4 linked regions of the Caenorhabditis elegans genome follow. The protein of the gene in region 1 interacts with the protein of each later gene in a pairwise test. Each region holds a gene or a part of one and is shown on either strand. Other genes may lie near its edges.

Region 1 (8,409 bases):
CCAGATGGTTTTACAACTTCTACACATCCATTCACTATTACAGACCATGAATCGAGTTTCTCGTTGTGAGCAAGAACTACCGTACCCGCATCGTTTACTACCGCAAAAACCATTTTCAAGCATAACTGACGTTTTATTGACATCGGCAAAGCGGCAAATGCGGACATATGTTGCATGAAATCGAGTAAAACTGCAAGATCTTCTGAATTTCGTTCTGAAGGTTCCTTTTCAAGACATTCTCGGACAGAATCTCGCAGATCCATGAATCCTCCACTACTTGATTCTTGTGAAGGCATACTCCCTTCATCTTCGTCTGAATCTGCTCCTTCGTTGGAAGCTGTTTCACCTTCAGTAGTTGTAGATGATGCTGTGCTTCTTCCTCGAAGCCTCCGAGCAGTTGAAATTCCATTCTGGGCTTGTCCTCCAACTGAATTGCTTTTCTCTCTTCTATGCTTCACTCGAACAAGAGTATCTTCATCAGCGGATAATCCATTCAAATATACTTGACTACGATGTTGATCATTATATGAAGTGTTTGATGATGATGATGACGTTGTTGGAATATCTACAGGAAAATCCAATGGATATGTTCTAGGTAAACCACGTGGCGGCAGAGGAGCTGGGCCTTTAGCTGCAGTTTGTGGAAGACGTAGAGGACGAGGTGGAACTGGAGGTGGCGGCATTGCAATTGAATCAACTGACATATTTGGTGCCTGAAATTGTGTATGAATTTTTGTGGTTTTTTTTTTCATTTATATTTGTTTGGGTCTCCGGAATACAAGACAGTGAGGGTGAAAAAGCTTAGAAAAAACACGGGATGAATCTCATTGCAACACATAAAAATCTAATTTCGCATTGCCGTGTTTGTTGATGGTGATTTCAAATAATCCCCATCAACAACACACCAGAGCAAAAAAAAAAGCAAACCAAAATTGAAAATAAGACCACGACATCACTGAAAACGAGTCAGAAATAGACAAAATGAGAAGAAATGAGCGAGAATCAGGAATTAGATAAAAAGAGAAAGAGAGGAACGAAAAACTAATGAAACATGGCTTCACGACACGCAATCGTAATGGGGAGGCACTTTCAGAAAGAAGGAATCTATAAATTTTATCATTTATCAATACCTTCAAAAACTTACCGATTTTCTAGGAGTTTTCTGATGAACTGGTTCTCCTGAATGATGAATTCCTCGAGGAGGTGTTCGTGGTGACATTCCATTCGATTGGGGTTCCGTTGGATAGTCAATCTGAAAAAAAAAACATTTTCTCAAAAACTTTATATAAAAATGCAATGTTTCATCTTGCCAAAATGTTGTCACACTTACTTATTCGGAACGAATTTAAGTGTGCCCAACAGATGTGAAAAGAGCGGAGAAGAGGAGATGAGGGTCAATCGAATTTGTTCCGAAGAGGGAGAAAGAGCGTGGCGCGCTCAACACGCATGGTGAGGATTCTTACGAAATCGAATAATCCCTTCAATGGGCTCTTTGAGGCACTTTTCAATAAATTTACAAGATGGATATATTATGATTAGTGGAGATAATCGGGCATGGGGAAACAATGTGTAGAGAAATCGCGGCCTCGAATAGAAAAAAAAAACTATTTTTGGAGCTCTAATGCTCTCTATTTCACTCCGTCTATATCTCAGAACAGATGTTCCTATTTACCAAGTACTACAACCAGATACACAATTTCTCACATAAAATAACTGAATGAGTTTATTATCGATACGTAAAGTTTTGCAATTGTTGCACCAAAAATGTGATACTCGGTCTCGACACGACAACTTTTTGTTAAATCAAAAGTGTGTCTGCGCCTTTAAGGATACAGTAATTTCAAACACGTTTCTGAGGAATTCTTATTTTTTAAGATAATTTTTTATTTAAAAGAATTAACATAAAACGCACAGATTTTAACAAATCGCGAGAAAAAGAAAGATGAAAAAACGTTGATAATTCCGAAACAACGAGAGTTTACAAAATTTCGGATGCATATTTTGCTAAAAAAGGTAAGGCGTAGTACTTAGCTTTTTCGACCATTTCTTTTGATGAAAAATTAAAAATCATACCACAATCATTTCAGATTCTTGTAACAGCAGACAATTATGAGTCCTTCGATGATTTTGTCCTGTTCGCTTGCCAAAGCTGCAAAAAAAGCACTTTTTAATTGAGAATCGTCGTAGAAAAATGCCCCTATTGTTTTTTTGTGTTGTTGTTTTTTTGGGTAACGGAAATGAGTAATTTGATATTATGTCCTGTACAAGAGAATGAGAAATCTCGGGTAAAAAAGTACGGGAATCCGAAAAAAAAGTCGCAGAACAAAAAAGACAGAAGAAAAAGGGTGTTGACCACATGGAATGGACATAACAGAAAAAGAAGAACTCCCGAGGGAAGACGAAATGAAGAGAACAAGAGGATTTCGAGTGCAAACAGTCTGTCTCCCCCCTTGTGCGCTTTTCTTTGCTCTTTTCTCAGTCGTTCATCATTTCTTTAAAATCTCACATGATGATTGATAGTTGTGTCAGCGAAATAAAGTTAAAGAAAAAGTTTTAACATTCTTTGAAAATCACATCATCATTTTGCTATAAAGACAAATTAAGCTAAATACCAAGAGAATATTACCCGATAAAGAAGCTGTTAGTGCAATAGTTTAACAAAAATGTACTAAACATTTAAAATTAGAACAAAAACAACTAGTATTCTAATTGCTACATAAAACATTATTGAATCCTGATTCAAAATGTTTCCTAACATTGTAAGGAATGGAAAGTTTGAAACAAAGTGAAGGAACATCACGGAAAGTGTGTCAATTATGAGAAAATATATGACTATCATTTATGATAATATCTCTTATCGACAGATCCTGAATGGGAAACAAGATGAGCGGATGAAATGGAAATTTTTGCTTAATTTCAATTTCAATAAGTGGGTTTCAATTATTTTTAAATTTTTTAAATGACCATAATTTTAATATATTTGATATTGTAATTATCTAGGAAGTATTGTCAAAATAATTACCCAATCAACTAATTATGCAAATTAAATCTGCAAAATCGTTAGGAATAATTTAAATTAAAATAAAATATGATTCGATTACAGAGAACATGAAATTATGTGTGTAGGTTTCGATGTTTCTACTATTTTCTGGACAACTAGGAACAAATTGAATAAAATGAAAGAATATTCGAAAAGAGTGAGCATCTAGAGAGCTCATTTCCCCCTAATAACCCACTTCCTATTTTTCTCAACATTTCATATAAAATGGGTTATTTCGAATGAATAGAAAATGAGCACGCAAAGAGGACACACCGGGTGTTCTCGTGTCTGAGCACATTTTTATTACCTAGTACGAAATTCTTTTTTTTGTGTGTATCTGCATCATTGTCATTATTTCAATCGTCTTGTCACGGAGAGAATGGGAAAAGGAAATTAGATGAGCATATAAGAAAACGAAGAATAGGGAATTGTACGGATTGGTGTCTACACTAATGATGACTCATTTTATCAATACTGCAAATTTTCATTTAAAAGTAGTGAAATTGATTCATTTCGTGCAAAATTAAATATGGAGATTATCAGTACTTTCCTTTACATTTTTTGAATTTATTTTTGATTATTTTTTTGGCGAAATTATTTCCCTTTATATTTAAAAATCACTCACCACCCGTAAGGCATGTAGATTTGATTTTCAATAAAAACTGATCCTGATAGTAGAATGTACCAGCTTCGTGCGACATCTCCATCCCTGAAATTTCAAATTCATTATTTTTTTATGGGAGTGGAGAAATATCAAATTTTCAGGCAATTTCTATTAGTTTTTCCAGAAAATGTTATTTTTTCAGATTTATAAGTAAAAATAAGAATTAACCGTACTGATTTTCAAATTAAACTTTTTTCGCTTTCAAAAATTATTAGTTTCCTCATTTTGATTACCCATCAACGAAACTTTTTAATTTTCGGAAAATCGAAAAATATTGTTCAAAAAATTAACAATATAAATTTTTAAAAAATATTAAAAGTTAAAAAAGACCAACATTTTAAGCTATTTTTTTAAAAACCTTTAAAATGTGTTTTAAATTCTATTAGTAGATTATTGAAAATTTCGTGAATTATCTAGAAAAAAAATATTTTAAGTCATTACAAACTGTATGAATCAAAAATGTTGTCGAATTAAAAATAATAAAAAATTCTGATTACATTTACGAAATATCAAATACAACGCTTTTTTTGTTTTGAAAATTTTGAAAAAAAAAATTTCATATGAATTTTAGTCTATGAGAAAGATAAGATGTTCTTCATATTTTAAAATTTTAAGTTTTTCAATGAAAAAAACATCTTTTTGAGGGGAATTGTATTTAATTTTTCCCTTTGATATTTATGTTTTCCGGGAACAGAGTCCGAATCAGTTTAAAATTTATTTTAGAAAAACTCACCGAAAAAGAATATATTGTGCTGGATGCCTTTCATATCGAGCAGTTTTACAGAGAGCTTTCAATGGACCTATAAACAAATTACTGAAGGTGTCGAGCTGCCGCAATTGCTCGTATACATTTCGAATATCCTGAAAAAATAATTAATTACATAATTTTAAAGTGGAATATTGATTTGTTTTGAAAACATTTTAATCCGAAAAAAACTTACATCTGGTGTCCTTAAATGCGGTGGTTTAATGAGGGATTCGTAAAAACGAGCATCATTGACTGGATCCTGTCGAGGTTTCCGAGGATCCATCTGATTCTCCTATAAATATAAAATATCTAGATTGTTAGTTTTTTCGAAGGAAAAATATAAAAAATAAAATTTCGGGAACCATAGTAAGGCAAAAAGTACAAAATGTAAATTTTTTCGTTGAACAGAAGCCATGTGGTCTTCCATTCAGATTAAGACGGCAAAGAGAGAGTAAGCGAAAGAGGACGAGCGTTCAGATAATCTCATAAATCAGCATGTAATGGGGTGAATGGGGCGGAGAAGGAGGAGCTCGGATGCTTCTTTTGTGTTTATTTATGTGAATAGAGAGGTAGAAGAATATGTATATATTCATCCCCAAGAGATGTTAGAGGATTTGCAGATTACTTTTAGATTATTAATGAAGATATGAGAATATAAGAGACGAAAAGTACATGAATACAACAATTTTTCTAAAAAATCACGAAGGCACTATCAACTAACTGATTACTCCTTACAATGATGATATTTAACAATTTTTGCAACAATCTAGAAGTACCGCATGACAATACCAATTGAAAATTGTTAATTGTTAAAATGGGAGTCACATATAAAAGAAAAACTAGGACATTTGTAGTGAAAATGTACAGCTAGAAGGCATAACTTCTGCCACTCCCGTTCTTAATCAAAAATTAGCCTCGATTAGTGTCTTTATGAAAGTTTCGATTGTTCTGATCATCTACAACTGAAAAAAGGGTCCCATCCAGTCAGTTACCACCAATTGAATTACAAAGTGATAATGATGTCGTCGTGTGCCGATAACAACGTCTAATCTCTATTACTATCAGAGGTTGATTATAAACAATCAGGGGCACTAGACACAGGAAAGAAAAGGATGCAAAAGTTGTGAAGAAGGGAATCAAAGTCTGAGGGGGGGGGGGGCGATTAAACGGGCGGATAGTGAATGCGGCGGCCGCACACACACATAGGGACGGGCATTTGGAGGAATGTGACTAGGAACAACACAGAGGCGAAGAGGACAAGAAATAAATCGGACAGTCTGTGTAGAGGCAAGAAATTGGAGGAGGAAAAGGCGAGGGACGGTGCGGAAAAGCACCGCCAAACCACTGCGAACCGATCAATAATACAACGGAAGGTGCTGCGAAGAAATAAGAGAGGAACGGAAAGTTGAGACGCAGGTTGATTGGGTTAAAGATTGCACTGATTGCAGAGAAGACAGAGAATCGAGTGAAGATTGGCTCAGGAAAGAGTTGATTGTTGACATTCCCATTGGAAAAAAACAGATATCGAAAAAATGTCTAGGAGCAAAAAAATATTTTTCATTATGGGAATTGTTGTGATGTTATTGCTATTGCAAGGTTCTGTTGTTGTATTGAAAGTCAGCTAAAAAATGGGGAATTATTGAAAATATATTGTATTCAAAAATTCTTCAAAATAAAAATGACTTTTTTGAATGAAAAAAAAACTTTAAAATAGTGATGTTGGCATATCAACGTAAAATTTAAGATGAGAAGGTATTAAACATTATAAGGAAACAACTCGAAGATTTTCAAGCACATACCAAAGTTTTCACGGACAATTGGCCAATTTCTACAAGAAGTCAACATTTTTGTCGCTTCGTCAATTTGAAACCCATAAAAGCATGACTAAGCTGACAGGAATTCCACGAAAAAGCAATAGATATGCGCAAAGAACTAGTCTCGTCAGATTTTTCTGGCAATATCTCATGCAGTAATCTTAATATGTCTTGCACACATGCAACCCCGGATGCTGAAATGTTAAACTTTAAAATTCGAGCTCGACACGATGAATTTGAATGGATGGAGAATAATTAGAACTAAACCCACATTACATTGATTTTAATGTAAAAACTAAAGTATTTTTGCTTTTAAATGAGAAAATAATAATTTTTCGAAGAAATCAAACCAGTTTTCAGAAATATTAATTTTAAGGCTCAAATAAATGGCTCGCTAAACTCGAAAACAACTGTCACAATAAAAGCTAAACATAAATAATTGAATAAATAAATAAGTAAATTTAAAAAAGTGTCAAAAACTGCTTCATAGATGCAAATTTACAAGAAAAAGTTAATTTGTTCCGTAAATTCGTTAGTTGGCAAAGTGCCAGGTTAAAGGCGCATAGACTTTCGCTGTGGGGTCTCGCAGCGACTCACCCCTTCTCCTCTGCTGCTGGCTGGCTAGTTTGACGCGAATTTTTAGGACGATTTTTCCTTTTTTCTGTATTTTTCTGTTAAAGCAATGATTTTTTCAACATTTTCAACATTTAATAATTAAAGTGGCTATGTTTTTAACATAATTCGAACAAAATTATGGTTTTCGTTCGCTCTATTCTCCAAAATTTTCATTTTTTTATATGGAACATTTTTATTTTTAGCAGATCGAACGGGGTTACACAGATAGCAAAATGGTCCAAGAGCAAATGAAGCTTACCGGAACCCTCGAGGGTCACACCGGATGGGTTACCCAAATCGCCACCTACACCCGCAACGACAAGACCACTGTCCTGTCATCTTCCCGCGGTAAGTCAATTAATATAACGTTTTCAAATTTATACTCACATTTTTCAGACAAGACTATCCTTGTTTGGGATGTCGACAGCGTTGCTCCAGTCGATGAGGGACCAATCGGTCGCCCAGTTCGTTCGCTCACTGGACATAACCACTTCGTCTCTGACGTTGTCATCTCCTCCGACGGACAATTCGCTCTTTCTGGATCCTGGGACAAGACCCTCCGCCTCTGGGACCTCAACCAGTAAGTAATTCAATAAAAAAACATTGTGCAAACAATTTTATAGGGGAGTGAGCACCCGTCAATTCATCTCCCACACCAAGGATGTTCTCTCTGTTGCCTTCTCTGCTGACAACAGACAAATCGTCTCTGGATCCCGCGACAAGTCCATCAAGCTGTGGAACACTCTTGCCCAGTGCAAGTACACCATCACTGTACGTTTTTTCAAATTCTTTTATAGGAAGATTTATCGAAACTATTGTTTAGGATGATTGCCACACCGATTGGGTTTCCACCGTTCGTTTCTCTCCATCGAACCGCGATCCAGTGATCGTCTCCGCAGGATGGGACAAGGTTGTCAAGGTCTGGAACCTCGGAAACTGCCGTCTGAAGACCAACCACATCGGTCACACCGGATACGTCAACACCGTTACCGTCTCTCCAGATGGTTCCCTCTGTGCTTCCGGAGGCAAAGACGGACAAGCTATGCTTTGGGACCTCAACGAGGGCAAGCACTTGTACACCCTTCCAGGAAACGACGTCATCAACGCCATGTCCTTCTCTCCAAACAGATACTGGCTCTGCGCCGCTGTCGGATCTTCCATCAAGATCTGGGATCTCGAGGACAAGAAGGAGATCGAGGAGCTCAAGCCAGAAATCGCCAGCTCTGGAAGCTCAAGAGGATCCAGCCCACAGTGTATCTCTTTGGCCTGGTCTCAAGACGGACAAACCCTCTTCGCCGGATACACCGATAACATCATCCGAGTGTACCAGGTGTCGATCCGTGCTTCCAACTAATTTGTTACCTGTTAATTCAAAACCCTTCAATAAAATTGTTGATATAATTTTGTATTCAACCATGTCAGATAAATTATTCGCGTTAATCAAGAATATCTAGCAGATGATAAAACAGCAAGGTATACTTGTTATGTTAGAGATGACGGATCGTAATGAGTTGATCGGTGTTGCAAT
Region 2 (7,818 bases), 6.3 Mb from region 1:
AAAGTTCGGGCTCCGTTATCACATCAGAAACCCGAATTCCTTTACTCCAATCCGAAATACTCATGAAAGTCTGCTACTTGGAATGGATATGGCTGAAAATCAGAAGGAAATCGCAAAGTTCTCACAGAGAGACGCGGGAAATTACCCAAAATACGAGCATTTCATATCAGAAATTGTGCATTCTTTTGAGCAACTTATGGATTATGAGCCACTGGATCTACAGAAACCAATTCACAAGCTTCTTCCGCACCTTTACCTGTTGTTCAAGACCGTACAGCCATTGGGGTTGCGGAATGCCGTAGACTTTTACGAATTGATGACAGCGCCGATCTCGAAAATTATGAACAAGTGGTTTGAGAGTGACGTGCTGAAGGCGACGTTGGGAACCGACGGTGTTATTGGATTGGCCGCGAGTCCAATGGATCCTGGAACCGGGTGAGTTATTTTCCGGTCTACAGCAGGAGGAGCTAGGTTTTTAGACACCAAACATCAGCTTCTCTTTGACAAACTCATAAGTTTCTCGAAATTTCTGGTGACAGATACGTCCTACTCCACCACGTCATTGGAGGACTTGATGAGCACAAAGGAGCCTGGGGCTACGTGTATGGTGGTATGGGCGCTGTATCCAACGCCATCGCCGAATGTGCCAAGAGCCATGGAGCCGAAATCTATACGGAGCAAGACGTTCAAGAGGTGCTTCTAGATGGAAACGTTGCTAAAGGAGTCCGTCTGTCAAATGGCAAGGAGCTCCATTCGAAGATTGTCATGTCGAATGCGACTCCTCATGTAACATTCAACCATCTTGTCAAGAAGGAGTCACTTCCAGAGGAGTTCCACCGAAACATCAATCAAATCGACTACACATCGCCGGTGACAAAAATCAATGTAGCTGTGAAGGAGCTTCCGAACTTCTTGGCCAAACCGAATCAAGGATCAGAGCCAATGCCACATCATCAGACGACGATTCATATGAACTGTGAGAATATGCAAGTGGTGCATGACGCGGTGATGGATTATAAGAACGGGAGATATAGTAGAAGGTTAGTTGGTTCAGAGGGGTTTTCATCGGTGGGCGGCAATTTGAAAATTGTTAAACCTATAATTTGTCTTGTATCTTTGTGGGTACGGTAGGTTGCGGTCCAAACTGCCGAATATTCTGAAGAATTTTCTGTAGATCAAACCGTAATAGGACATCCTAACACTACGTATAGGATTCGACTAGTCGCGGCCGTTTTCAGTGTCATAACATTTTCCCCCGTTTTCTTGAGCTAAAGTAAAAGTTTTGACAGGGAATTTGTAAAATTTAAACATTTTATTAACAATCCGAATGAAGACGTGGTGTCAGCATGTCCCATTACGGTTTGACCTACAAAAAATGCGGAAACTTTTCCCCAAAAAATGTGACGTCAGCACGTTTTTAAGCATGCGAAACAGTTGAGAAGACTGCATCTAAATTTGCGTACATCTACGTAGATCAAACCAACATGGCGCACTCTGACACTTCGTGAATAGACACAGTTCCTTTTCTGATCAAATAAATATTTTAAATTCGATGAATGATTCAGGATTTCTGACAATTTGTAAAACCCCTTTTAGAATTCATGATACCATCATTCTCGCCATAAACTTCAATTCAAAAGTTTGCAGACCAGTCATCGAGATGACAATTCCCTCTTCAGTCGACCGAACCATTGTGGATAGTGCTGATGGTCACGTCGTCCTCCTCTTTACCCAGTACACTCCCTTCTCACCGAAAGACGGTGAATGGACGGAAGAAAAGAAGACAGAATACGCGAAACACGTCTTCTCGGAGATAGACGCTTATGCACCGAACTTTTCATCAAGTGTCATAGGCTATGACATCTTGACCCCACCCGATATTCAGAACACTTTTGGGATTACTGGAGGGGTAGGTCCCATTTTTAAGGCTCAATTTTCAAAATTTGCTTCAGAACATCTTCCACGGATCTATGAGCCTTGACCAGCTGTACGTGTCCCGCCCGATCAGCAAATGGAGCAACTACTCAACGCCCATCGAGTCCCTCTACCTCTGCGGAAGTGGTGCTCACCCGGGAGGTGGTGTGACTGGAGCCCCCGGTCGGTTGAGCGCACTTCATGCCCTCAAACATTTCTAACGTTCTAAGTCTCTTCTCGCGGTTTTTTATTGTTTTGTTTGTCTTGCGCCAGTGACTCATAAAAACATTTCCAACACCATGATGTATTGCAAAATGTGTGTTTCGAAACTGCTGAGGAGACGACGAGGAAGTGATCTTTTGATTCACGATTTAGTTGCGGTGACCTTTGATTTTTGAGTGATTTGGTGGAATTAGAAATGTTAAGCGGGAAATCTTCAGAAAATTATAGAAATTTTCAAAAATGTTCGTAAAAGTTTGGGAAATAATTTCAGATTTTTAAAAAGAATTTACGTATGTATTTTTCTTTGGATTTTAAAATTAATTCTTCAAAAAATAGTTGAAATTTCTATTTAAAAAAAAAAAGAAAAACTATATCCAATTTATGTTCATACCTGAAAAAAAGCAAACATTTGTAATTTGGTATATTGAAAACTGTCAAGCTTTTCTATTTTTCAGGTTAAAAATCAATTTTCCACAGATTTGTCTTGAAATTTTCAAAAAAAAAGCTGTGGTTCTGTAGTTTGTGAAATTCGTATTTTTATTGAGTAGTCTAGTGTGATTTGTGCTCCCAGTTTTACAGCTCCTTCCGCAGGATCTTTTTTCGCCAACACAGCAAGTACGAAAACTCATCGCCACTTGGTCAAAGGTTGAACTCGTCTCAGTTTCGAAAAAAAAACCGAGAGAAACTCATCGGAACACAACAGAATGCCGCCCATCGCTTGATTTTGACCTTTTTCTTGTGTTGTCTGCTGCCTCTTGTGAAGAGATAGAGAGACAGCGAAAGAAATGCCAAAAACTCGTATAAAAGAGCGGCCAAAACGCCACAATTTGTTAGTTGTTGAGAGGAGTGTTTCCCTCAAATCTCTATGGAGATTTTTTTTTCGGGTTTCCCATGGTTTTCTGATCGTTTGAGCTTTGCTTTCCGCTTTTTCTCTTACATTTTTACTTTTTTAAGGCTTTTTCAAAACTAGAAAACTTCTCGAAATAACATACGAAAAATAAGATTGCGAAATACGTGAAATATCGTATTTTACTCAAAAAAAATTATTGGGAATTCGATTTTTTTTTTCATTTTATTTCAAATACATTTTCTGCCAAAATCGCAGTTTCCTATATTTTTGGTGAGTTCCGGGGAAAAATAGCTTCAAAGCTTTATTTCCATTTATAAATAGCTCTAGTTTGCAAATTTTTTGTCTAAAACGAGCGAAAGTAATGACATTTTTCAATTTTTTTTTTTCGAAAAAGTTCGGATATTATTGCGAAACTTGAAATTTCGGGAATTTTATCATGAAACAATTTTTTAAATTTGTAATTTGTAGTATTTCACAGTATTCTAGCAACATTTAAAAAATGTGCGAAATTTGAAAATTACGTGATTTTTTTTGTTGGAAAATATCAATTTCTGTATTTTCTAATTAGATTTTTCAGTGTTTTGCAAGATGAAATTTTAATTCAAAAAATCGTAGTTAATTTTGAACATTTTTGATCTACGTAAAAATGAACACTTTCAATTTCTGTTTGTTTCTTTTTTGTGTTGGGAGAAATTCGGAAGTTGCTTGTGTTTTTTTTTTGTTGAAAAAAAAATAGAAAATAGTCAGTTTTGTAGAATTTTATTTGTTAAACTCTCGTCTTAGCCTCACTTTTTCAAATTTTCCCTTGAAATTTACCTCAAAATTTCCAGAAAAAATGGCTCACATCGTGCAAACTCACAAGCTCACCCTCCATGACGTCGCCATCGACCAGGCTCTCGTCTACAGCTCCGACTCGAACTGCGCTGAGCTCAAGAGAACTTTCCAGGTCGAGTTGGCTCATGGCTACAATGAGGTTAAAGTTCAGGTGAGTGAAGGGCTATAAAATACGAGAAAAAATAATTTTTTTTTGCATTTTTTACTGCTAAGCAAACAAAACCATCGAAATTTCCAATATTTACCTTACCTGTCAAAGTTAAAGTCATAAAAACACTCACACAATGTGATAAAAAAATTTTCAGAACCTCCCATTCGACCTCGTCCAGGACTCGATCCGTGTTTCCGGAGCCGGCGAAGCTGTGATCCACGACGTCTCCGTCAAGAACCAGGAGGGTGCCGAGTTTGTGATCCCGGAGCGGGTTCTCGCAATTAAGGCGATCTTCGAGGAAAAGGAACGCGCCAAGGACAAGGTTGCCGATAGCCGAGTTGCCGTACAGAAGCGCATCGAGGGACTTGACAATCTGATCACCGAAGTCGCCAAGCACGGAAAGGACGGCGCCTTCCATTTTGACGGGCGCACAATTGAAAGTCTCAACGCCCTCCACGGATTCCATCAAGACACAACAGTGGATCTTCGCGCTCAGATCCGAACCCTGGATCAAGACCTGCGAAAGGCCGAGGAAGAGTACGCCCGTGCTAGCCAAGACTACGACAATACCGGATACAGATGGAGAAACTCTGCTCAGTATGCCAGTATTATTGTTGAGTCAGAAGCCGGTGGTGCTGCACAGCTCACCATCACCTACCAAGTGAACAACGTCTCCTGGACCCCGTTCTACGACATCCGCGTCACTGCTGGTGTTGAAGCTGAGATGCACGTCACCTACTTCGGAAAGGTCCGTCAGTACAGTGGAGAAGACTGGAAGACAGTGCCATTGGTGTTGTCAACCGCAAGACCCGCTCACGGAGTTAAGCAACTTCCGAAGCTCGGAGCCCTCGAGGCATCGATTGTTGTGCCCGAACCAGAATGTAACAGAGGTGGAAGAGGAGGTTATGGAGGTGGTTACGCTCAGGATTCAGTGGTGATGGCCTGCGCGGCTCCGATGATGGAAATGGGTAGAAGTAGAAAATCCATGAAAATGTCCTATGCGGCTGTGAAGTCCAGCAACATTGCCTCCGAGTTCAGCATTGGCCGCCCCGCCACCATCGACGATCGCACCGACGAGTACAAGGTGAACATCGGACAATTCACACTCGACACCAAGCTCTCCAACGTTACCGTCCCATCCCGTAACGCCACCGCGTTCCTCGTCGCCAACTCGGTCAACACCTCCGACTACCCACTCGTCGCCGGTCAGGCATCGATCTTCCTCGACGGAGCATTCGTCAACAAGACCGAGTTCGAAGATGCGGTCGTATCGCAAAAGTTTGAGGTGTCGTTGGGCGTCGACCCGAACATCCGCATCGAGTACAAGCCTGTCAGAAACTACCAGGAACAGAGCGGAACCGTCGAGAAGATCAACTCTCAGGTCACCGAGAAGACCACTGCCGTCACTAATCTTCGCCCCAACTCGGTGCTTCTCACCATTCGCGAGCAGTTGCCAAGATCCACAGATTCTAGAATTAAGGTAAAGATTGAATACATAAAAAGCCCCTAAATTTCCCATTTTTCAGGTCCACCTCAACACCCCAGAAGCCGTGGAAGTCGACGAGGCAAGCGTCGAGCCAACCGTCGGAGCCGCCATCACTCCGGAGAAGATTCTCGACTACACCGTCCAACTTGCGCCAGGACAGTCCAGCACTTTCGTCGTCAAGTACACTACCGAGCACCCACAGGCTGAGCAAATTCGCTATGAGGAGAAGTTCTGAAGTGCTTATGCGATGATTTTTCCGCTTTAACTTGATCTGTATAATTTATAAATAATTCCTTTAATGTCGCCAAATATGTAAAATAAATGTGTAATTTCAGAATTTATTGATTTCTTTGAGACACACAGAATGGATTGAAATGATGGAATTGACCCGTTTTGAGCAACAAATGGAATTGGAATTTAGAAAAAAGAACAAAAAAAATCACACGATATGATAACCCTTATCTTCTGGATTGCTGGTTGGAGGTCTTGCATCTTTTTTGTCACAGCTCTTTGCTCGGCTCAATCGACGGCGCAGAGATCTAGCGCGTTTCTGCAAAGGGTTTATGGAAATTTCTGGAACAAGGTTCGATGCACCATGTGATTTAAGAGCTTTTTTGCATTTGTCAAAAAGTTTTCAATTGGCGAAATAATTAAAACACGTTTTCTTAACTTTGCAATATGTAAATTGGTAATAATTTTAAAAGTAAACGAGGTTTGTCAACTCACTGCAATTTTCTGCACTGGCTGATAGCCGGTGGTGTTGGAGTTCCAATAATGACAAATCATGACAGCGGTCAAGATGAAGCACACTCCAAGAGCAACTGATGCCAAAAGCATGAAACCGGATAACCCGTTGCCGATTGCCGTGCGGACTTTCATTTTTGAGTAGTGGTCGAGCCAGATGCCTGAGAAAAAAATTAATTGAAATCCCATACCTCGGTTAATTTTAAAGGAACAGTGTATAAAGTTAGCTAATAATTTTTATAAAACCAAAGATGAAGTTTTCGTTGCACCATGTTTGCCTGATTTTGAGAGTTGATATCTCAGTTCTTTTTGGTTTTATCCAAAAGTTATTGACAAACAACTTGTTGTATCAGTTTCTATGTTCAACAATGCACCATGAAGAAAAATGACATTGTTTTAGTTTTACTCAACTTTAATGGATATCAAAAAAGTATAACTTTGTTGAAAAATTTCTGAACAACTTTCAATCTGATCGAGATATAAGCCATTCGGCAAAAAACTCTCTTACCTGTAGTAATCACAGCTAGCAGACTTCCGACAGCCGACATGATACAAAAAACGAGCCACAAGATTAGCATGGTCCTCCACCGATATCTATGCACAGCGCCCAATCCCATGGCTCCGGTGAGCAAGCTGACAATTGCTGATACCGTATTCATATGGCACGTGGATTGGTATTCGGCTTCTGTCGGGTAGCCGGGGCATGTGGTGCCATGAGCCAAAAAGATGAGCGAGATGAGGATCTCCGCGCGGCACAGGTGCACCATTATTTGGGCGTATCTAAAAAAAAGAACTTTAGGCATGGTGCATCGGCATAAAATCGGTTTTAAAAAATTTCGCGAGCCCACACCTTCATTTTGAAGCTATCAACTAATTTTCTACTGTAAAAGAAGAAACATATAATAAACTATGTTTTTCATTTGACATTATTTGATTGAAAACATGGTGCATCGACAAAAAATCCTTTTAAAAAGTTGTGACCTATTTAAGATGAGTCCTAAGTTTTCTACCCAGCAACCGACATTTCGTGGGTACCCGTAGAATGTCGTCTGCTACATTAACCTACTCGGTATGCTGAAATCCTGCCTTCTGCATTACTGTATAAGCCTTATAACGCCGTCGTTCGTTTGATGAGAACTCCTCTTCTTCTTCAGAAGTCTGCAAATATTTATTTTAAATTAAAAATACATATTTTATAGGTTCGAAGCTACAGTTTCAAACGCAAAATTGCGACAAAAAAGAGACAAGTATTCGGATATACTGCCTCGGGGAGGCAGGTAGGAGAATCCCATGTGACTACTCCAATGTGGCCTTGTTTTGTGATTGGAATCGATAGATTACATGTATGGAACAGTTTCCGGGAGAAAGTATAACTTTTGCTATTAGGATTTCACTGTTCTCACTATTAGTTGAACGTATTTGCAACATTAAACCTGATCCTATCACTAGCGCGCGTTTGCAACACCAAAATTGAAGTTATAATTGGAGCATGTTTGCAATTGAGTCTTTAAAAAGTTTGTCAATATTAGAGCGCGTTTGATGTTTTAACAAGAGTTATCATTAGAGCGCATTTTAAATTAAAATTGAAAATTTGTCAACATTGTGTCAATGCATCTT
Region 3 (8,323 bases), on another chromosome or scaffold:
TATGCAGGTAACTTTTTATAAAATTTTTCTAATACGAAACTTTCACCTATGCTCCCACTTTTAGTGAACTGACCTTTTCCCAGAATGATATGAATTTTATGAGGTTTCATAAAACCATCAAAAAGACCGTTCTCTCATCATCATCATTGGGAGTTTAGTTGTCGGGAAATCAAAGGAGACCACCGTTAAACCTTCTCTCTCTCACCCACACTCGGCTAGTTTTGACCGATAAGCATCTCAATCGGTTTGGGTCGGGGGCTAATGTGAACGTTGTTTCTTCAGTTGTTCAGTCTCAAACCCGAACACCTGCCGGTCCGGAAGCGTGAAGCCTATTGACGACACCTGCTTTTTCTCCTTTTTTGGTACAAGCTTTGTCGGGCAGAGATGATGGATTTGATCTATATTTGATGGGGGAATAGGTCCAGGTATATATGAAAAGGATGACAATAACAATGAATGATGATGTGTTCGTGTCGGAATGATGGGTCGGTGGAATGATGGGATGGAACGATGGGTGGAAAGGCACGGAAAAAAAAACGCACCCACCACCACGAAACCCACCAACGGAAGTAAAAAACGAAAGAATAAGGGAAAATGAAAAGAGATGGGATTATGTGTGTATTTTCTCTATTTTGTATGTATCTCTTTTCTATCCAACTGGTTATTTTCAATATTTTTGGTGAAAATGTGAAAATGAAATAAATACATCGACTGTCAAAAAGAGAGTATTATACCTCGGTATTGTGACCTTTTTGCACATTGTATTGTCAATAAAGGTGAAGAGGAGGTAGAGAAAAAGAGTGCCCGTGCATATATGTATGCCAATTATCCTGACAATCAGGGCGTTTCACGATATGGCAGGCAAAGAGCGGGAAAAGGGGATTGGGGAGTCTAATTAGACAAGGTTATATACTCTGTGGATAGGTGAGGTAAAGGATGCGGATTATTAATGAGGTATGACAGAGGATATATGACTACATAGGTTCTAATTAAGAATACGTTAGATATTTTCTCAAACTTCAGTCTAAAAAATCTATAGTTTGATATTAGTACGGGTGTATATTTAAATATAATGTCCCAACGATCTGTTTTTAAATTGAACAGCAAGTTGCAAATATATGTAAAAGATACCAAAAGCTATTATATAATCTGACATCTAAAAAACAACAAAAAATCCAAAACCTAAATATTTGCTCCACACCATTTTTCCCGTTCGCTAAAGTTCGAATGTTCTCAGATTTCAAAAGAGATCAATAAATTAGTTTTTGTATCGGAGTGCTTCTCACTAACATGTTTATTGGAATAAAATACAAAAAAGTAAAGTCTCATTTTTCCAACAAGAGCTGACGTATTTTAAACCAAACGAAATATAAATTGTTAAATCCCAAGTTATATTTATTGAATGCATTCCACTTATGGAGTGAATCTAATTAGAGGCTCAATTCATTTTCAAAAGAGTGGTCTAATAAGAAAAAAAAAAATGTAGTTGAGTTTCAATTTTTTGAAAATCAAAAAGTTTAAAAGTAAAATTTGAGGAGAACCCAGACTTTGTAAAAAATCAAAACTGAATGTTTGCAGTTTGGATTGAAAAATTGACATACTCGGTTTTGTGACTAAACAACTTGACACGTACTTATTATTATTACGAAGTGTGGTAAGAGGTGTTACCAAAACAATTTGAAGAACATTCGATCATAATGTTGGTTTTGATTTTCTCTTCCAAAAATCATTATGAAGATGAAAATGTGGAAAACCATGCTGGTCACCCAACATCAACCAAATCTAGTCCTAGAATAATTCCCCATTCAGCCTGACTCTCTTCATGACAATTGTATACAAAGTGGTGCAGGTTGAGGGAAAAGAGGAAGGTGAGAGTGAGTGAGGGTCGAAACAATAGACGGTATTGTAGTTGTTCACACACAGTCCGTATTGCATCTTCATCATCTTTCGTGCGCGCTTCTTCTACTTTTATGTTTGCTCATCACCAGCTTTACATTTGAGGTCCCGTTTGCGCATCCCTTCCTATTGGGGAAAAGATGTATACAAATACATATTTATGAAAACCACGATTTAGAAGGTGGTGGCTATGATGTATAAATATTTTTAAGCAATGATGAGACATATCGGGAAAGTAGCAAAACACTAAGAAAATGAAAGGTTCTAAAAATGAATATTACATATAGTAGCTGAAAAAATAATTTTTGAATCAACAATATTTAAATTATACAGACTAATTTCTAGAATTCGAACCCAATATATTTCCAAAAATTGCAAATTATTCCTATACTCCTTGAAATTTTCGAAACATTAGAAAAGTAATAAAATATCTTCTGCTCCACTGATAATGATAACTTAAAATAATTTGCCACTTGATAACAAATATAAAAGCAAAATTTTGTTAAAGTCGCGATAACTGTGTCCATCACCAAACAGTTAACCGATCCACAACTACACAAAAACCGTACCGTCCTCAAAAATTTATGATGCATGAAATTTGCACAATGATGACAAAAAGAGGAACGGTTAGGGTTGAATGGAAAAAAAGAAAGTGTAAACGGATTCAATAATTATTTGTTAAATTTTTGGGTTTGGAAAGAACGGTGCAATTGACAATTGTCGACAAGGAAAAGTGAGGAGACGAATGGAAAGCAATAAATGGTTTATGTCAATAAATAACAATGTGTGTCTAATGTGTTGGAGTTTGATGTATTCGTTATGACCTTTCACCCATTTTTGGAAAGGTATTCCCCCGAAAATAAAATTCTGTGACTCTTTGTAATTTGAGAGAACGGCAGTCGTTGCTCCTTATTCAATTTTTGACGATTGAATTAAAGTTTTGCAGAACATTTCCTTTGAAAAAGTGTGTTGAAATTTTAGCTGCAGCTGTATAAAATCTTTTTCTGATAGTTTCAGTCGTGCTAAAAGGGTGCTAAAAGTCATTGCTTTTCAAAACATACAAGAATCAATAAATTGAAAGTAACATGTTATTCCAAAGCTAGGCAAGAGTTTAGCTAACTGTGAACATACAAAAAATCTCAAAAGCGTAGTAAATTGTAATAAAGAACTGTAACGTTCTGAAACCCTAACAACCTGCAATTATCACAAGTCAGACAACCTTCGAAACGAAGAGAACACAGAATTTGAGTGATGATAGTTTTTTGATAAATAGTGTAATGAGACAGAAACATTTAAAAAGTTGATGAAAGAATAAGAAAAAAGGAATGAGAAAGAGAGAATGAGTGTGATAAGCGCAATGGGAGGTTCTATTACTTGAAAATGCCACTGACTGTGAAATAGAATATCAGGGAGACATAAAAAAGAATCGCCAGGTTGACTGATTAATCACTAGATTTATTGATATATTTGACGACGGAACTCTCCGTTTTTTCTCTTTTTTTTTCTCCATTTTTTGTCTTCACCTTGACAGATTATTGGTTTGTGACATACTAGACGTGCCGACTAACTGTGTGAAATACTAGAATGTGACCTATATAGTTGTGAAGACTGGACGAACGAGAATTCCAAATTAGCTCACATTCATAATCTCAGTGTTTTTGTGTTTCCCTGCCCGTCAGAAAGTTTCGAGGCCATTAATTAATTTCTAGAAAGCAGGTCGACGAGTGAACAACAAAGATTTTAAAGAAAATGAAGAGAGATGAATTTTTTAAGTGAAATGAAATAAATATGAGAACTTTTCAAGAACATTGATTTGCCAAAAACCAAATCTTAGTGGTATTTGCACTATTTGTCATATATTCACTGTTTATGCATATACCATAAATAGAGAGCACTTAAGAACTCTTCTTTCCGTTCTTTACACGTTCCGCTTCTCACAGATAGTATCGCAGAGAAGAAAATCTCTCTCAAAAAAAGATTACTCACTTTTTCAGCCGTTTAGTAACTTCCTTGATATGATCCTTATCCACGGAAACTAGATATGCATCCGTTATCATACGATTCGAATTTGTGCCTGAAATTAAACAAAAACTAAGTATTAAAAAGGAAAAAGTATAAACTTTTTTTTACTCACAGTTAAAAACAGAAGCTTCATTTTCTGCTGGAATTTCTAATGCACGACGTCTAACTTTCAGCTGAATGATTTTTCGACGAATACACTGAAATTTGAAATTTTGCAAGAAAGTATCATAAATTTTATCAAACTTCTTGAATATAAGTTGTGACTTCCTCATAACTTTTTCCTTCTATTTTCATGTCATTTACCCCAACGATTTCATCTCCAATGCTCAATCCTGCTCTTTCCGCAGCAGTTCCTGTAATGGAAATCGATTATTTTTTCAGAAGTCTGCATAAAATTTGTAAAGCACTTTATATCTGATTTCCAGACACCTTGAAAAAAGCGAAAAAAATTGCGATATAGGTTAAAAAAACGCCCACTTTGCCGATGCCATCAACGATTTGGAGAATCGCATTAGTACAAATGTTCGTTGACAAAATTTCAGTAAAAATTCATCAAAATTGCAAATTATTTCAATAAAAATACTTCAAAATGTTTTTATAAATTAGTCAAATAAAATTATCTTTTACTTACCGTACAGCCGAACAACCTTCTCTTCTCGTTCAACCAAAATTACAAAACCACTCAACGGCGTCGAAGTGCTCACAACGGTCTTCTTATTTCCAACACCACGTGCACTGCTCAACCGTCTCAAGGATGTCCTTTTCAAGTCGGACAGTGCCTGTGGTATCGACACCGACTTGGACATTTGATACTCGAGCCACTAGATGAAGGCTGAAAATTTTTTGGGAATATTATTTCCAACGAAAGCGAAAATAAGAAAATGAGAATCCAAATTTCTGAAAATAAAGCAATAACTGAATCGGAATGGAATTTATGAGTAGGTGAAATGAAAAAAGTTGTTTTGAAATCTCGTGGTTTTCATTTTGAATGATGAATGCTAGGATTCCGGGATCTGCTCAAAACTTGGATCTAAAAATAATCATAAACTTGAAACAAATGAATAGAAATGTCAGAATCACTCGAAAAACTGCTACTTCATGTAAGCGTTGTTGCGTGAATAATTGAGACAGAAAAAGAACCGAGAAGAAGAGTTGTGATGAGTGCACTTTCTTAGTTAATTGCTTTTTTTCTTTTCTTCTGCAATTGTTTTTTGTGTTTCAAGAGCTTAAAGAGGAATGGGGGATAAGAACTAAAAGACTTGAAGCGCTTTTGATGAGATGGACTTTTTGGGGTAAATTGGAAAAAGACCGACAAAAATGGGAATAGTTGAAGAGAAAATTCAAAATAACAAAAAAAGGGAGCTGTGTATAAGGGGTACTGTATGTCTTAAAGTTGAGAACAGAGGTTATGGACAAAAAAATAATCTTAAAGTTATCTGAGAAAGTTACGGTATCATAGAACATATTTGCCAGATAACAAATTTCTAAATTGTTGCCAAATTAAAAATGCAATCTTAATTATTGACTCACGAAAAGCACAATTAAAAGACTCCACATATCAATACAATATTTTTATCTGTAGTGACATTTTCTAGATTGATAAAAACAGCTACTTTAAAGATTTTGAAAGTAAATTTTAAGTTTTTCCTTTGAATTTCAAAAATACACTTCTAAAATTAGGCATATCAGTGAAAGTTTGCGTATTTCAAGGAAAACAGTAAGTGCAGCTGTCAAGCATGCTGCAAGCAATTAAAATTACACACACTCTCTAAGAATTCATAAAATTGTCTTGTCACGTTTGTTCAATCAAAAAAGATGAGGTCTTCAAAGTATCCATGAGCTCAAGACACACGGAATGAAGCACTAAATAATAGCTTTTCCCGGGGATAAAAAATTGAACGAGACAGATGAAAACAGTGGTCCAGATTGATGATATTGACATTCATTCCACTAGTTCAGTGTGACAGGGAGATGGATAGATTGGGAATGAAAACTGGATGAGAGAGCTTGAGATTTAGAGTGACAAATAATTATGGGGGATCCTCTTGAGAGAATCGCACCGAAACTATGTGCATCGTGTCCGGCAGAGGGAAACTAAAAAAAAAGATTTTTGACGCCATTGGTGTGTCTTCTGTGTCTTTTTCCACAGAGTCTCGAGTATAAAAAGTGAGAACGAAGAAGATACAGATAGTCGAGGATGGGGCAAAGAGAGAAAGGAAGATGGCGGTGTGGGTGGGAGAGCACAAGAAGGTCCAGTCTGGGGACAGAAAGAAGCACATGGAGCAAGAAAGAGAAAAGGAGATGGTGAATTGTGACATTCGACCCGCAGGGATTTGAAGAGACGCAGGCCGCATAGAAAGAACAAGCTATAAGATAGAGAATAGCCAGCTGATTAGTGCTGATTTCATTGATCAGCTCATCTATCTTCAACATGTCGTCTTGTAATTTTCTCTGAGACAAATTACGCCGATCTTCTATTGTGACTCTCGTAGCTTTGAAAAAAAACCAAGACAAATAACACTACTATTATGGTTAAAGTTCGTAACTTAAAAAAAAAAAACTTTTTTCACCCGCCTCTCGGATCTCAGTCATTTTTAGGCTAGTTTCGAGTTTGATGGGCATATTTTATTTTGTATAGAATGCAAAAAACAAATATGGATTTTGAGAATAAGTTGTGAGAAGATATTGTGAAAAACATAAACGTCCATCGTTGATAATCTTCACAAAACGTTTGTCGAGAAACTATGATTTTATGCGGAAATTATGCAAACAGTTTTTTGAAATTCTAAAACATATTAAAATTTCAAAATATAACCATTTAAACTAAATAGGAAAACTAATTCGCTTAATCAATTTTGAAAAAATTTTGAACCGTACGCATTTTGTTCAATCTCTAGAGAACTAGCGACACTTTTAAAAACTTACCGAATTTCTTGTATTTCTCTTGAAATACTTTTGGTTTAAAATTTTGTGTGGAAAATACTTTGAGATTGTAAGGATTTTATGTTTGAAAATAATAACGTTCATAGAATGTATATGAGTCAATGGAAGAAAACTTTTTTACAGTATCAAAATTTATAGTCAACCTGCTGCAATTTTATATTCAGCAAGTTTTACAGGAAGTCAAAATAGCAATAAGAAAGTCAAACTCAAACAAAAGTGTTTTTACATAAATGAAATATTCACATGAAAATTATTTTTGGCAGTTATCCTAGAGAAATTGCATAGATTAGATTAAATTAAGAAAAGTAAAGTCAACGAGACCTTCAAATAACTTTCCTCCGCCGTCAAAGCGTGTTTAACTGGCATTCGAGAACAAATCTAGATAGATATGATCTCCTTTTCTGTGGAACCAACCATCTCCCTTTCTCACTTTTCTTCACTCGTTCATCAACGTCGCCGTGAGAAACGTTTCCAATTTCCGGCTTTTTGGTTTTTAGAAGTATGGCTTTAGAGATCTCCACACTTCTATTTTTCTGATTCCAAACACTTTCAAAAATGAGCGAAGAAATTTGGAGAAAAGAACCAAAAAGAAGGGAATTGAAGGGGTTCCTAGAAGTCCCAAACGAGTGGTTTTAGAAAACGAAAAGCAGCTGATGAGAGGCCCCGTGTGCGTACTCACACTTTCATTCAAAAAAAAAGGAAAATAGTGCTCAAAGAGTTGCCAGCTGGTTATAAAGTTGACGGATTTGGAAAAGAGTTGTTGGAACGGCGTTTGCAAAGAAAAACGGACATTTGGTGGAGAAATGGCACGCAATAACAAACAAAATAAAGACGACTTTTGAATGTTTGTGAATAGAAGCAAAAAAGGATCAATTGGTTTGTTTTTTCCTCAAACGTTTTTACATGATTTGAAAAATTGAAAAAGAGTCAACTTTTAAAACAATTTGTGTTAAAGAGCAAAATTTGTGGAGAATCTCTTCGGGTAAACCTCCAACAATAAAATAATTCCAGTAGATTCTGTTTTCAAATTCTTAGGTTCCATAAATTATTTTTACCGTAATCACATGACACAACTTTGAAACAAATGGAAAACTATACACTTTGCAACGATTTGCCTCAATTCGATTTCCGTTCCCATAACAGTATTGCTTCTCGAACCGTAATTCAATTATAATCATAAGTTTTTTTTTAGTTTTTTCCACATTTCCGCCCACATAAAACACAGATACACCTCCATTTGTATTCAATATGCGGTTCCAATTCAATCTTCTTCTACTCTCTATTGTTCTATTTTCGCTTTTCACTGTTCCAGTGGATGCTTGCCGTAAAAGGAACAGAAAAGCTCAGTGTGAGACACTTTTGGATTGTGAGCAGTTTTCAAATGGATTCAGAAAAGTTTATTGCGTCGACGGAGTTTGTAACTACGCGAGAAAGTTTCGAAGAGTTTCGTTCATAATATGAT
Region 4 (6,563 bases), on another chromosome or scaffold:
CGTCTAAAAAAATTATTAAGCGTTCATTAAAGAAACAAAACAGGAATAAAACAAATACAGTTTAAAAAATTAAAGAGTATCGATCGAAAAATTTCATGCATCAAGTCTAACAAGATCGAGACTTGTGCCTTGACGAAGTCCACAATGCGCCACAGTACGATAATCCATAAGCTCCGATCCCTTGAAGAGAAGACGCTGCTGATTTGGTGGAATGCCTTCCTTCTCCTGAACCTTGAGCTTCAAGGTACCAATTGTATCCGTATTCTTGATTGAAACAGCGGTAGTCTTTCCTCCGGTTGAGTTTTTCACAAAAACGTTGAAATTTCCATCGACTGAAACCCGCCGAATCTGATAGGGCGATGCTACTGAAAAAAAAATATTATGGGTAAATTAGACAAATAATCAATTGTAAAACCAACCACGTCTCACGGCGGACGAAGGCAAATATGATGTGAAACGCCTATTCGGTTGGACGATTCTTTTTCCCGCAAGCCTAACATTTACAATTCTACCGGAGGCGGCAGTGCCACGAATAACTGGCTCCGCGGGTGGCCCAGCCAAATCGGGGTTTTCTTCATTTCTGTTGGTGTCCGATGCTTCGACTTTGATGGGATCTCCGGTCACTTCTTCTGATTCACGAAGCGGTGCTTGCTGAGCCTCTTGAATTTTGACATCTTGGACAGTGTCCTCCATTTCAATGATTTGATTTCCGGCATCTTTGTCTGAAAATTATTATTTTTAATGCAAAAACCAGGAAAAAAAAACGATAAATACCGTAAGAGACTGCAAAAACGACTCCCTGTTTGTAGCGAACTTCAGTTTTCACACTTTTCGGCGCTTCCACTGTGATGGTCTTTCCAGTCGACGTTTTGATGGAGAGCAGCATGATTTTATCTGAAAAAGTTGATAGATTAAACCTAATTGAGAGCATTTAAACAAAAAAGACGCAGAAAGAACTTTTTAATTTGACAAAAATAGTGAAAAAAGAATAACAATCGACAGAAATTGGATTTTCAGTAGTTGTTGAACTTATTTTGTTAAATAAAAAATGATAATGCACCTAAATTAATTTTTTTCATTCAAATTTCGATAAATAGCGAGAAAGAGCAAGTTAATATGGGCAAGAGTTTCGAAAAAATCAATAAATCGAAAAACAAATCTCGACAAACTACGGTAAGCGTAAAAGTTCACAATGAACACAATGCGCATGAATTGACGCGCATGCCGTTTTTTGAGTTTTTTTTTGGTTTTATTAGAATTTCAGCATTTTTTGCAGAAAATTTTAAAAAAAACTATTATAATATTTGAAAAGAAACATTTCAAGTACTGAATCAAGCAAAACAGGAAAAAAATATTACAAAAAACTGTTTGCGCGTCAATTAACATGCATTGTGCGCAACAGCGTACTTTCTCGTCTACCATAGTTTTGCCGATTTTTTATTAATTTTTTTGTGGTTTTTAACGAAAATTCTTGTGAGTTGAAATGTATTCTATGATAGAGAAATACAGAAATTAACGAAAAACCTGAAAAGCACACTTTCTGAATCACTGAAAAAGATTCTTTACGTTGGAAATTCAGAACACAAAGAAATATACCGGCTGTTTAAAAACCATATTTTTAATTTCAAAAAAATCTAAACTTTTTCAACATTCATCAACAAAAATAAACAGAACAGTAACAAAATAACAAGTAACAAATTAACAATATTCAAATTGAGAACTTCATCCACGAAGTCTGAGAATTAAACGGAGAGTAGCCTCATTATAGATGTTATAGGCAATCAAAGTACGGTCATCCTCGAGCTGCGATCCTTGATAAATAAGACGCTGTTGATCTGGTGGAATACCTTCCTTATCCTGAATCTTGAGCTTCAAGGTCTCAACAGTATCCGTATTCTAGATTGAAATGGTGATTGTCTTTCCGGTATAGGTTTTCACAAAAACGTCAATTTCTTTTTCTATAGAAACTTCCAAACGAAGAGTACTGCCGTTTTCGAAACTGTTGTCAAAAAGAGTGCTATGATCGCTAAACAAATCTAGGTCCCAGTTTTCTGTAAAAATTAAAGAAATTAGACATATCTTTCAATATTTAAAGTACAAACCCAATAATAGTTTTTGCGTATTTGGGAGGATTCTTAGTTTTTCCCAAATTTTAGCCTTGACACTTGCCATGGTATCGGAGGCGGAAGTGTCAAGTGTGCATGTTCTTCCAGCGTTCTCAACGTAAATTCGGATTCCTTCATGATGCAGTTCTTGCTGAGTCTCGGCAACCTTGACATTCAGATTTCCGATGACCTCCGATGATTCGACACTGATGGGATCTTCGGTCACTTCTTCTGATTCACGAAGCGGTGCTTGCTGAGCCTCTTGAATTTTGACATCTTGGACAGTGTCCTCCATTTCAATGATTTGATTTCCGGTACCTTTGTCTGAAAATGATTTTTTTAATGCAAAACCCAGAAAAAAACAATAAATACCGTAAGAGACAGTGAAAACGACTCCCTGTTTGTCGCGAACTTCAGTTTTCACACTTTTCGGCGCTTCCACTGTGATGTTTTTTCCAGTCGACGTTTTGATGGAGAGCAGCATGATTTTAGCTGGAAAAATTTATAAATTAAATATTATTGAGAGTTTTGCAACAGAAAAACGAGGACAACGGTGAAAAAAGAAGCAAACAAGGGAGAAATCTGGTTTTTGGATAATTTCGAAATGATTTTTCTTAAAAATATGAATAGAATGAATTAATAAATATTATTATCAAGATTTTGATGAATTACGGGCAAAAAGCAAGCTATAAAGAAGAATTGCGTTGAAAAAGTCAATAAATCGAAAAACAAATATTGCAAAACTACGGTAAGCAAAAAAAGTTCACAATGCACAAAGAACACTTTAATTGACGCGCAAATTTTATTGAAATTTCATTTATATTAAAAAACTTTTTTCTAAGTTTTCGATGAAAACATTTCGAGTACTGAATCAAGAAAAACGGAAAAGTCAATTATTTAATGTGTATCGTGTGCAACTGCCTACTTCCTCGTCTACCGTAGTTTCGCTGATTTTTTATTAAATTCTTTGTGGTTTTTTAAATAATAGAAATTCTAATTGAAGAAACATGTGCCAACAGAAATTCTAGCGGGTTGAATAATGCTAAATTGAATTAAATTCGAGTATTTCAAAATATCAGCCTGAAGTATCCAAAAACCTGAAAAACCAATTTTCTGAACCATCGAAATAAAATGTTTAAGTCGGAAATTCAGAACACAGAAGAATTTACTGGAAAAAAACCCTCATATATCATAAATATGGTACCTGTAATATTTTGAGACAGTGTTTTTAATTTAAAAATTAAAAAAAAAACCTTCAACATTTATCAACAATAAAAAACAAAAAAGTAACAAAACAACAGATTAAGAGCAATCAAATTGAGAACTTCACAACCGATGTCTGGAGACTAAATGGATAATATCCTCATCACGAATGTTATAGGCGAACAGAGCACGGTCATTCTCGAGCTGTGCCCGACCGAAAATGAGACGCTGCTGATCTGGTGGAACACCGTGTTTATTCTGAACCTTGAACTTCAATGTCTCAACAGTATCCGTATTCTTGATTGAAATAGGAATCGTCTTTCCGAATAAGGTTTTCACAGAAACCGTCAGTTTTTCTTTTACAGGAACTTCCAAACGGAGAGTACTGCCGTTTTTGATGTTGTAGTCAGAAATAGTACGTTGATCCTTGCACAAAACAATGTTGGAAGGTTCTGTAAAAACTAAAGAAATTAGACAAGCTATCAGTTTCAAAGTACTAACCCAAATATAGTTTCTGCAGATTTGATGGAAAACCTCGTTTTTCCTAGATTTTAGCCTTAACACTTGCAATGGTATCGGAGGCAGCAGTGTCAAGAGTGATCGTTTTTTCACAAGTTTTAACGTAAATTCGCATTCCTTCACGATGCGGTTTTCGCTGAGCCTCGGCAACCTTGAAATTAAGATCCTTGATGGCGTCCGATGCTTCAACAGTGATTGGATCTCCGGTTACTTCTCCTGAAAAAATAAACATATATTGAAATAAAAACCAAAAAAAAAATCGATAAATACCGTAAGAGACTGTGAAAACGACTCCCTGTTTGTCGCGAACTTCAGTTTTCACATTTTTCGGCGCCTCCACTGTGATGGTTTTTCCAGTCGACGTTTTGACGGAGAGCAGCATGGTTTTAGCTGGAAAAGTTGAATTTATTGAGAGTATTGCAACAAAAAACAGTGAAAAAAGAGTAACAATCCACAGAAATTTGATCTTCGGGAAGTTTTGAACTTATTCTGTTGAATAAAAAAAATATAGCACTTAAACTAATTTGTTTCATTTAAATTTCGATAAAAAATGAGAAAAAACAAGTAAATATGGGCAAGAGTTTCGAAAAAATCAATAAATCGAAGAACAAAAATTTCCAAACTACGGTAAGCGAAAAAGTTCACATTGCACACAATGCACATTAATTGACGCGCAATTAGTTTTTTGGGGTTTTGTTGTTGTTTTTTCTTCGCATTTAAACGTAGTTCATCGTATTTTTTGCAGAAAATTCAAAAATAATTATTTTCAGCGGCACATTGGGAAATGGTCGCTGTCAAAAGAGAATTTGAGCTCTCCCATGTTTTCAAAGATGTGTCGAAGCTGGAAGATGGAAATACTTTTTATGGTCCTGAAGAAGAACATTTCAATGTTCAATGGCAAGCTAGAAAATGAATTGTAATTTCACTCTTACGTTTAATATTGCAGGCGAATAGTTCTCATTCACCAAAAAGAAGACGTGGCTGTATTTCTCCGGTATCTGCACCCAAAAAATGAGCAAGCTCCCTGGAAAATCGACTCTGAATTTACCTTGAAACTCTCTAATTCTTCGGGAAAATCTGTGACAAAAACCGGAAGTGACATTTGGAATTCATATGATGCACTTGGATTTTGCGATGTTTTCGAGTGGGACTCATTGCTGAAGGATTATCTAATCGATGACGTCATCATCATTGAAGTTGCTGTTAAAATCAAGAATATGTCTGGAATTCCGAAGAAAAAGCTCAAAAGCTTCGAGAGATCGAATGAAGAATTTTCAGATGTGATTTTGGCAGTTGGAGATAAAAAGTTCTTCGTTCTCCGAAAAGTATGTTCTCAATTTTTTTATCAATCAATTATTGATTTTTTTTTCAGTTCCTGGCTTCCCACTCTACATATTTCGAGACTCTGCTGCTCGGAAATTTTGCAGAAGCTGACAAATCAGAAGTCAAACTCCAGGACATCAATTCCACCGATTTTCAGAATCTCATGGAAGTTCGGTATGGAGAATATGCTATTGATGGTGAGAAATTCGAAATATTTTTATAAAATAAATCCGCAAAAATTAGAATTTTAAAAATTTCAGAGGAAACAGTGGACGGAATTCTGCACTTGGCTCACTTGTACGATATGCCGTTTCCGATTAAAAGATGTGAGGAATTTCTTGTCGATTCATCTGAAAAATCCACGAAGGAGAAGCTTAAAGTCGCCAAGAAGTATCAGCTGGAGAATTTGAAGGTAGCAAAAATCCGAAAAAAATCTCGAAAAACGTCTGAAAATCTAATTATTCAGGCGTCTTGTCTCGCAAAAATCAATACGTTGGAGGAGATCAAAGCGGCATTGGCTGGAGATTTGGATGAAATGGATCCATCTGTGGTTCATGCTCTTTTCCGTAAATCGCTGGCTCTTCATTGATGTTCCATTCTTTCTTCTTTTTAACTTTTTTTGTTGAATGATTCCTTATTTTTAATTTACGACAACTAAAAATATAATACTTCCGACGATTTTACTAGGTTTTCTTTTTTTCAGTGTTTTTTGATGATCGGTTTCTTATCTTTTTGTGAAATAAAATTTTAAATGAATGAATTGAGTTTTTAAATTTGAATTTTAGTTAAAAATTGGGTTTTTTCAGGAAGAATTTCGACGAGAAGAATCGATATAATCGCAAAAGTCGATAAAATCATTAAAAAATCTTGCCAAACTACAGTAAGCAAAAAAGTTCACATTGCACACAATGCACCTGAATTGACGCGCAAACCTTTTTTTGTGATTTTCCAGTTTGTTTTTCGATATATTTTCCATATTTTCGTTCATAATTTCAATATTTTCATTCAAAAAAATGTTCCAAAACGAAGAAATTAATTCTTTACGCCCACTTTCCAGGTTTTTGCGACTTTAATAATATTAAATTTCAGGGACTCTTCGAAATGGTCGCCCCCGGAAAGAAATTCACGCTCAGGCACATTTTCAAGAATGTAACAAAATGGAAAACAGGCGAAATTTTTTATAGTCCCGATGAAGAACATTTCAATGTTCCATGGTAATTCAAAAAAAAATTGCTATACTTTAATTTATAAATGTTCAGGCAAATGTGCATTCACCGCGAAAATGGAAACATGTGTGTAATTCTTTGTTGTCTGAAAGTAGAGGAAGATCGTGTTCCCTGGAAAATCAACTTCGAATATCAATTGAAAATTGTCAACATATCGGGAATGTCTATTGTGAAAGCTGGAAATAAA

The links.
Region 2: the proteins of pxf-1 (region 1) and F37C4.5 interact in a two-hybrid assay, tested with the Caenorhabditis elegans proteins (one large-scale study listed by BioGRID).
Region 3: the proteins of pxf-1 (region 1) and magu-2 interact in a two-hybrid assay, tested with the Caenorhabditis elegans proteins (one large-scale study listed by BioGRID).
Region 4: the proteins of pxf-1 (region 1) and F52C6.3 interact in a two-hybrid assay, tested with the Caenorhabditis elegans proteins (one large-scale study listed by BioGRID).

The regions. Positions count from the first base shown.
Region 1 is NC_003282.8:10,169,596-10,178,004, forward strand, and holds the start of pxf-1 (Rap guanine nucleotide exchange factor), read right to left. Parts: upstream 4,747-8,409; 5' UTR 4,736-4,746; coding exon 4,646-4,735; intron 4,566-4,645; coding exon 4,438-4,565; intron 3,750-4,437; coding exon 3,666-3,749; intron 2,150-3,665; coding exon 2,074-2,149; intron 1,253-2,073; coding exon 1,145-1,252; intron 714-1,144; coding exon 1-713. Other genes in the region: rack-1 (Small ribosomal subunit protein RACK1), read left to right, coding at 7,115-7,229, 7,278-7,461, 7,505-7,652, 7,705-8,235; mspn-1 (Mitochondrial sorting homolog), read left to right, coding at 8,375-8,409. UniProt on the Caenorhabditis elegans protein: Acts as a guanine nucleotide exchange factor for small G protein GTPases like rap-1 and rap-2. Required in the hypodermis, especially in the seam cells, for proper formation of the cuticle.
Region 2 is NC_003282.8:3,869,805-3,877,622, reverse strand, and holds F37C4.5 (Protein F37C4.5), read left to right. Parts: upstream 1-3,816; 5' UTR 3,817-3,821; coding exon 3,822-3,971; intron 3,972-4,125; coding exon 4,126-5,451; intron 5,452-5,497; coding exon 5,498-5,692; 3' UTR 5,693-5,792; downstream 5,793-7,818. Other genes in the region: F37C4.6 (Pyridine nucleotide-disulfide oxidoreductase domain-containing protein 2), read left to right, coding at 1-435, 540-1,040, 1,648-1,909, 1,953-2,135; F37C4.4 (Transmembrane protein 196), read right to left, coding at 5,897-6,007, 6,184-6,362, 6,710-6,981, 7,268-7,359.
Region 3 is NC_003283.11:8,796,273-8,804,595, forward strand, and holds the start of magu-2 (MAGUK p55 subfamily member 5), read right to left. Parts: upstream 4,757-8,323; 5' UTR 4,725-4,756; coding exon 4,550-4,724; intron 4,272-4,549; coding exon 4,162-4,271; intron 4,116-4,161; coding exon 4,031-4,115; intron 3,971-4,030; coding exon 3,883-3,970; intron 657-3,882; exon of another isoform or gene 358-656; intron 286-357; exon of another isoform or gene 96-285; intron 1-95.
Region 4 is NC_003280.10:1,920,793-1,927,355, reverse strand, and holds F52C6.3 (Ubiquitin-like domain-containing protein), read right to left. Parts: upstream 2,598-6,563; 5' UTR 2,590-2,597; coding exon 2,478-2,589; intron 2,430-2,477; coding exon 2,103-2,429; intron 2,052-2,102; coding exon 1,897-2,051; 3' UTR 1,636-1,896; downstream 1-1,635. Other genes in the region: F52C6.2 (Ubiquitin-like domain-containing protein), read right to left, coding at 94-365, 420-722, 775-886; F52C6.4 (Ubiquitin-like domain-containing protein), read right to left, coding at 3,853-4,043, 4,098-4,209; bath-2 (BTB domain-containing protein), read left to right, coding at 4,612-4,724, 4,774-5,152, 5,200-5,347, 5,411-5,562, 5,617-5,739; bath-7 (BTB domain-containing protein), read left to right, coding at 6,252-6,364, 6,410-6,563.